Lepisosteus oculatus: one gene and its partner. The main gene of each other region encodes a partner of the protein of the gene in region 2 in a complex. Links are inferred from orthologs where the notes say so. Each region holds a gene or a part of one and is shown on either strand. Other genes may lie near its edges.

Region 1 (3,920 bases), about 8.4 Mb from region 2:
AGCAGTCTACAAGCCTGCAGCTCTTCTAGATCTTTGCTTTAAGGCTACACAAAGCAGCTAGTGACAGTCATTGCCCTTTCTTCAGCAGGAGTTAGCGCCACAACCTCCCCAGCCTGCCACTGCTAAGAAAAACAAGCTCTCTGCCTTCTTGTCAGCCCACCTGTTTGTACTGTAGTTGCAGTGAAGAGTGCAGCTAACAGTCTTCTCCATGTCTGCCAGGACAGTGAGATCCTTCTCTGTTGGATCCCAGAAACTCAGACACCCTTCACTGCTGCCCTGTTAGACCTAATTACTAGTGATTCAAAACCTTCACGAAAGTCATCAATGCTATGGAACAACAGTTGGTTGACTTTTGTGATTCTTATAATTTTAATCAATGTAACTGTTTTAGGAACAATAGTCAAAATATTTACCATCCAACCAGATATTTTATTTTGGAATTGAAATACAATCTTATATACAGTATGACGCTTACAATTTATATTATACAGTATAGGACTCATTTCAATACAGTATAGGACTCAAGTCTTATTTATTCCTGTATCTGAGTTATGAAGTTTAAATAAACATGTATTAACATGCTACTCCTTTGTTATATTTCTAAACCATCAAGTGATCATTTGAAAATGTAGTACTGAACATCATTTAGAATTTTTTTGGACTATTCCTAATGTATTTGGGTATAACTGTATAGTTTAAATACTTTCAAATAACATTTTGTGAAAACAATGTGAATAATAAAACAATTGCTCTAGTTAAGCATTTAAATTACTTAAACTATTTTGAAGAGTATTTACAAATAAAATATCAGAGACCGTTTTGCTATGAAACTATCGGATCCCTGCACCTTTCAAGATCTGCATGTAGCATTCTGACACTACAGTGGATGTCACACTACGATGTGGGTTTTTCAGTGTTTTTTTTTTATTTTCCATTTCGTTCTGCCATCCAGATATGAATTGGTCCTTGCTACTTCTTCGCTTAATCACAATTTAGTCAAATGCTTTTATTGCCCTCTGATTCAATAAGGCGATTTTTACAAATAATTATAGTTCTTCTATCATTCTATTCTTCTTTAAATCGTATTTCTAGAATCTGGTTCAACGCGTTTAACAGTAAGTGAAACTCGTTTTACAGTAAGTGAAAAGAAACTGGCATCCATAACACAGCCCCTCTTGGCTAAACGGAGATAACCCAGGTTGCAGGCGATAACTCCCGCATGCGAGGAAAGCAGAGCACCCAGATTAGTGACCTGGTGCACCTGCGAACTCCGGCCGGCGGGCGAATTGAATGATGAGGCGCAACTCTTCGCTGCGGCGAGGCTGAAGTGAAAAGCGTACCGTACCTCACAGAGCCGACAGCAAATGAGCTCACCTATAGCGCTGTCCCGCCCCCACGGCCCGGGGAAGACGGGGGCAAAGGCGGTGTGTGTGTGTCTGCCGAGGGAGGGTCTCGGCTGGGTGCTCGCCAATCACGGCGCGCACATTAACTTGCTGTCAGCAGTCCAGCTGAGTGCAGGGAACAGTGGCCGGGGGACAAGGGCTGGAACTTTCCCAGTGCGAAAACTCAGCGAAACAACTTTGACAGAGGGCTGAAAACAGAAACCTTACAGCGCAGCACCAGCCTTTCCAGATTTCTGCTTGTTAGTAAGAGAGAGGCTGTACAATCCTCGGCAGTGTTCTGAGACTGTATAGCCCCCCTCCCGATGACAAAAGGTCTCTCTTCATTATAAATGGATATTGCTAGTGTTTATTAGTTACGTTCTCCTTTCATCATTACCGTTAGCTAGCAGCTATTTGTTTTTCGGTAGTTTTTTTTTTCCATTATTATTTTTTTTTCTATTGTGAAAACTTTTCAAAAGCACCGCTGGAATTTCTGGAGGACACGGGATTTGATAAAGGACGTGTTCAGTGCTATTTCGACCACCATGACCGCTGAAAAAGAAAAAAAGAGGTAGGGTGCATTTTTCATACAGTATTTAACCTGTTTTTTTTTTGTTTAATGTTTCGATTGAGTTACTGTCTTGGCAAGCACAATGTCTTTGCAATGAACATAACGTGAGGACCGATGTAACCAAGATCACTGACGCTGCTGTTAATAGGACTTGTTGCGCTGCAGGGAGAACATACTGTAGTGAAGTTTAAGAAACTGCTGTCAACCTTCTGACAAGGGCAGCAACACAAATGTAATGATATGAGCTTATACCTTATGATCCGGACCTCTTATGCGATGTAAAGTGAAAGGATTTGCGCTGAATATTTTTCTTTCAAATGTGTGTATGTGGCGTGCAGCTGCGATCTGCACGGTATTTATATGCCGTCTTAATTTATTATATGATGTACATACTGTACATTTTGTCACGGTACAGCCTGTTACAGATACTGCGATCTTGTCCAACACCAAATGTGTCCGACATACGGTACCAGTTCCAGAAGATATATGCTACCATTACAAAAATAAATATTGTAATATTGATTGAGAGTTTAATGGTTAAACTTGTTTTTTTGTTTTTTTTTTCTCTGCTGCTGTTTACGGGATTCTTTTTTTAAATCTAAACTTTGATCTCTGATTTGATTGGTATACCACGGAGGAGTGTGAGCAGAGGCGACCTGTGCGAGTCTCTGGTATCGTGCGGCTGTTGTGTGGCCCTAGTTAATACGCAGGTTAATTAACAACAGGTGAAACAAAGCGTAGAGGTAAAATACAGTGACAGGTCGATTGTGAGGTGACTAGGACACTGTTTTCGAGCTGTAGTAGTTGCAAAGCATTGACCAATTCTGTCATAAAATGTGATGGCAGAGTTATTTGTGTGTCTCAGCATTTTAATATACTGTAATCTGCGGTAAAGCAACATAAATCATTGCGCACATGGTTACCTTTTCATGTTTTTAACCCTTAGAATATGGTATTATTCATTTAATTGTCTCGGCTGCAAAAGTGAAGTGATTCTGAAAAATCTTTTTCGTTTTATACTGTATTCATCCTCATACCCAGTGGAATAAAATAAATATCCAATAATAAGTGTAATAAATAAGATAGGGATCTTTTAAAATATTAAGTATTTTAGCTGTTCTTATTTCAAGAATTTATCAGGTTTGCAATTTATGACCTTTCCCATTAGTTGCATACCGTATGGGAGACCGTAACACTGGGAAACTACAGTATGTGTAATTGATTTGTAAAGTCACAATACTGTGTAATTCTGTACTTTGCATTTGACAGGTTATTAGAACAAAATGTTAATTTCCATCGTTGTACATAACATTTACACATTAAATGTCCTCTGTTTCAGTTTGTAATTCTTCTGTAAGTAAAATTATATACATTTTAATTAGAACTTGTTAGGACTGGATATATAGCCTGCAACGTCAGGCTGTTACAAGCAAAACTGTACAATACAACTATTTAAAAAGTATGTGAAGATTTTGCAATGTGTATGATGGGGAAAATGTGTACTTAGTGGCTCTAGTAATAACACAATAAATTCGCTCGCAGTATGACTTCGGTTTGTATACCATACTAAAAGATGGCAGCATCTATACTGCACTCAGGAACATATTGAGTCATCCATTTGATTTATGTTTTGTGTTTTTTTTTCCGTTTGTTTCCATCAGTCTGAAATACAGTTTTGAAATGCTTCATGTTACCAAACTGAAACAGGCCCAGGAAGTGGAGTGTGAGGAATGATCGTTCACTATAGCCTTTCCTCCCTCACAGGCCAAGGCTGTGTGAGTTTATCCATACGCCATGTTAACACGTTTTGTTTCTTTTATCAAACTAGGTTCGGTCTTCAAACCCTTTGTTTGAGAAATGGACTTGCATCTTCCAGATCTTGAAGATTTAGTAATTGCTCTGATCTCTCAAGCACAATTAAGGCCTAGCACTGTGATCGCTATTCAGAAGTGAACAAATATACGTTG
Region 2 (3,920 bases):
TTTGCTTTTCAGGCCGGGAGCCGATCTTTTCAATTTAAAAATACGTCATACTGGAAAATTGCATTTTGGGAAATGTATTTTTAAGATATAGCGGCTCTCTAACGTGGTGTGTACAGTGTATACGTACTGTACAAGACCGGTATTTCATTTAAAAAAACACTCAAAAAGTTAATGCAATTCTTACACGTGAGCACATAATAATTAATGACAGGAAAAAAAGTAGATTATTGTTATGGATCCTACAAGTATATGGGATGAAGGTGTGACAAATGCAGGGAATTATGCTTCTGTTATAACTGATTATGCGGTACCTTTGATCATACAATGCCTTTACTATATTCAGACCGAAAAAAAAAAGAAATCTCGTCTGGTTTTAGGGAAACAAGGCTGATTTTGCCTAATCGGGTTAAGCACACGCAGTGAGGAAACTTGCAACCCACAAACAAAACCCAAGTCCAAATACGGGGTGCATTATAATATCAAAAGTGAGATATGAGGGTTCCGAACTATTGTGCCAAGAGAGGGTGGCGCTTAAAACACGTTGCTTTGAACAGCAGTATCCCTGGAGTCCACAAAAAAGCTCAACAGCTGGCCTATCATTTGCATTAATAAAAACAACGGGATTTTTCTGGGACACTCAGAAAAAACATCTTTCAAGGGTCCCAAGATGCTCTTGGCACCGTTAGATCACACAAAACACAGATACTTCCCGCAAACGTAACACCTTCAGGGTGTGTGTTTAAATGCGTTATTTCTTCTTTGTAAGCACTGCCTGATCAATAATTGCTGTAGAAGATGGCAAAATCGGCAAATCCCGGATTTCTGATGGGTCACGAAGAATACATGCAATGGCAGAGTATTTCGAAGAATAGGGAAACGCGCGCTGCGCGTCGCGTGTCGTAAATGCCAGATCTCCACAGAAAAAACTACGTCTTAAAATAAGCGCTCGGCAGTTCTGACAGCAGCGGCTGGGTGGCGCTCCAGGGACGAGCCCCTAATTTCAAGGCTTCAGTTCTGAGGAAACCCAGAACAGATTTAGTTGTTTCCCCCCCCTCGGCATTGTGACGTCGCTGTGTCTGGAATTCTGAGGCACAGAGGCGAACGCGTTCCGAAGCGCGTCGGAGCGGCCGCAGGTGTCACGGTTCCGAAACCGCCTACGGGCTGGGCACCCGATTTGTCTGGGCGACTTGACAACGCCGCGGACTGCACACAGACACGCACGCCTCCCCGGCCGCACTCCACTGCTGGGGTTCTTGTGAATGGCTCTAGGCGGGCCCTGCCCTTCCCTCGTTGACGTCAGGGGTTGGGGTTGGTTAGGGACGACGTGAGGAGCGGAGAAAGAGCGCGGCGCCATGTGTCTCTGGGAGACTGGCGCTCTGAGACCAGGGGCATTTCGGAGTGCAGAGGGAGTGCGCCATGTGCCGTCTGCACTGTCCGGTGTTCGCCCTCCAGTAACCCGCAGAGGGTAACGCAGCGTGGGTGATGAAAGTGCGTCGCGCCGAAGCGGAGGGAGCAGGTTTTCCTTTGGGCTTGTTTGCGGCGGCGGATCCCTTCCAAACTTGTACTGCGCCGCCGGGGCGAGGGGCAGCGCTGGATTTAAAGGGCCAGTAGCCGCCGCTGAACTTCGCAGCCATGGCGAGCGAGGAGGGCACGCTGTCGGACCTGGAGCGGGACCGGCAGTACTGCGAGCTCTGCGGGAAGATGGAGAACCTGCTCAAGTGCGGGCGCTGCCGATCCTCCTTCTACTGCAGCAGGGAACACCAGAAGCAGGACTGGAAGAAGCACAAGCTGGTGTGCAAGGAGGCGGGGAAAGCGCCGAGCCCGTCGCAGCCGGAGAAGAACCGGGCGGTCCGAGACGGGAAAGGAGCACAGCCGCCGCAGAAGGCCCGCCCCGGGCCGGACACGCCGGCTTCCCAGAGCCCGGCGGACACGGGGCCTCCGGAGAGGGAAGGGACGACGGATCATATCAACTGCGCGGACGAGCCGGGTGGCATCGCCAACAACAAGCAAGCCGGGGACGGGATTCACAATAACATTAAGCCCAACGGTCAGACGAAAGCCCAGCCTCAGAAGCTGGCCATGGAGTACATCGTGCCCTGCATGAACAAGCACGGCATCTGTGTGGTGGACAATTTCCTCGGGGAAGAGGTTGGACTGCGCATCCTGGAGGACGTCAGAGCCCTCCACCAGACCGGCAAGTTCACGGACGGCCAGCTGGTCAGCCAGCGGAGCGACTCCTCCAGGGACATCCGGGGCGACAAAATCGCGTGGATCGAGGGGAAGGAGCCCGGCTGTGAGAAGATAGCCTTTCTCATGAGCCGCATGGACGATCTGGTCAGACACTGTAATGGTAAACTGGGAAACTACCAAATAAACGGGAGGACGAAAGTAAGTAGCGCCCCAGGTGCGGACGGTGTAACCCCCCCGGCGCGCAGGTGCACATAACCCTCCACACCCCCTCCCCTCCCCTCTCCTCTCCTCTCCCCTGAGCAGGTGAAAAACTGGCCCGCCAGCTGTCGTCGGGGAACCGCCGGGTAAACACCTCCACGTGTGAGGAACGAGGCGCCAGGATGATTGTTGTCTTTCGAGAGTTTTGTTTCACGCGTGTCTGTAAAATGCGTGAGATGACACGTTTAGCACCGAGTCTTGGTGGGGGGGACAACACTTACTTTGACCTGAAGCAGCAGGTGACGGGGAAAACAGACGAGTTTATTCCAAGATCCATTAACAATACCGGGTGCTTTTCCAGCTCGTAAGTAGTCGAGTTCCTTGGTGTTTGCTCTTGTCCGACACCTCTGCACCATTCGTTTCCGTCAGACGCAGTGGCAAGCAGCTGGAATATAGTCCGTGACCCCTTTTGACGTGTTTTCTGCGATGGACAGTTACAGGGGTTAAAAGGGAAAGTTGTGTTTGTGTTTTTTTCCTGGAGTGGGGAAAAATGTAGCTGTTTCCATTCGACAGCGATGCAGGCATTGTGTGTGTCAGCGTTAAAATGAAATCATGATGGACTACTGACCAGCGATCCTTGGGCGAAATGCTCTTCACTTTGACGAAGGAAAGCGAGGCCTTAGTCCGCTAATAACTTTGTAGACACGGACCCAGGCTGAGTCTATCAGCGCAGTGCCTAATTGTCTAATGAAATACGCAATACCAGCTCAATTAAGAACCCGTTCTGAGCTGTATCCTTTCCAGAATTCTTATTGAGATGACAAACGTTTATTTTTCGGCGATCGTTCGATACCGGTGTAAATCATTATAGCACGTTGTACGTGTTTGGGAATGAAAAGCATCAGGGAGAGTTTTACGCACACGTGATTTAGAAAGTGACTGACGGATGTAATTCCATGTGACCGAAGAAGATTGAGCCTGGAAGTGACAGATGTTCCGAAGTCCAGAAAAGAGCATTTCTGTATTCAAATAACGGAGAAAATAAAAGAGAGGTTAAAGAACATTTTAGGATTAAAAAAAAAACGTGGCTCACTAAATTAGTCGTCTGAATTCTATATAGGCTGATTTCACTGCAGTGATAATGTTAATCCCTTTTTATTTTTTTGAGCACGTTTGTGATGAGAACAAGGAAAAAGCCCTTAAGAGAATCGAGCTATTTTGTTTTTAAAAAGTGCATTAAAATAGTATATGAAGTACAAATGGAGTAGTCGAGCACTTCAAAACACAGACCCCTTGGATTAAGACGAGAAAGCTTTAACCTGTCCACATTTGCTGAAACTTTATGCATTTGTTAGAATGCATATTTGTGTCTTTTTTTACAGCAAAGGCTTTATTGAATTTATACAGAACAGCATAGCAAAAAAGTGCTGTTTTGTATAAGTCAGTTTGACATGTGTTTTCTTTCTTCTCTTTTCAGCATGGAATAAACCTGTTACTGAGAAATGCTCAGGTGATGCAAAATGATCATTAAA

What was found.
Region 1: the proteins of egln1a (region 2) and epas1b are in contact, whole or in part, in a crystal structure (PDB 7Q5X), measured with the Homo sapiens proteins. The link is inferred for Lepisosteus oculatus from reciprocal best matches to the Homo sapiens genes EGLN1 and EPAS1. Residues at the interface, in NP_071334.1 of Homo sapiens: Gln239, Leu240, Val241, Ser242, Lys244, Ile251, Arg252, Trp258, Asp277, Ile280, Arg281, Ile292, Asn293, Gly294, Arg295, Thr296, Lys297, Tyr310, Val311, Arg312, His313, Val314, Asp315, Pro317, Asn318, Asp320, Arg322, Arg370, Trp389, Tyr390; in NP_001421.2 of Homo sapiens: Asp525, Leu526, Glu527, Thr528, Leu529, Ala530, Pro531, Tyr532, Ile533, Pro534, Met535, Asp536, Gly537, Glu538, Asp539, Phe540, Gln541, Leu542.

Annotation. Positions count from the first base shown.
Region 1 is NC_090712.1:13,467,826-13,471,745, reverse strand, and holds the start of epas1b (endothelial PAS domain-containing protein 1), read left to right. Parts: upstream 1-1,469; 5' UTR 1,470-1,927; coding exon 1,928-1,953; intron 1,954-3,920.
Region 2 is NC_090712.1:5,069,764-5,073,683, reverse strand, and holds the start of egln1a (egl nine homolog 1), read left to right. Parts: upstream 1-1,074; 5' UTR 1,075-1,632; coding exon 1,633-2,388; intron 2,389-2,669; exon of another isoform or gene 2,670-2,693; intron 2,694-3,920. UniProt on the Homo sapiens protein: Cellular oxygen sensor that catalyzes, under normoxic conditions, the post-translational formation of 4-hydroxyproline in hypoxia-inducible factor (HIF) alpha proteins.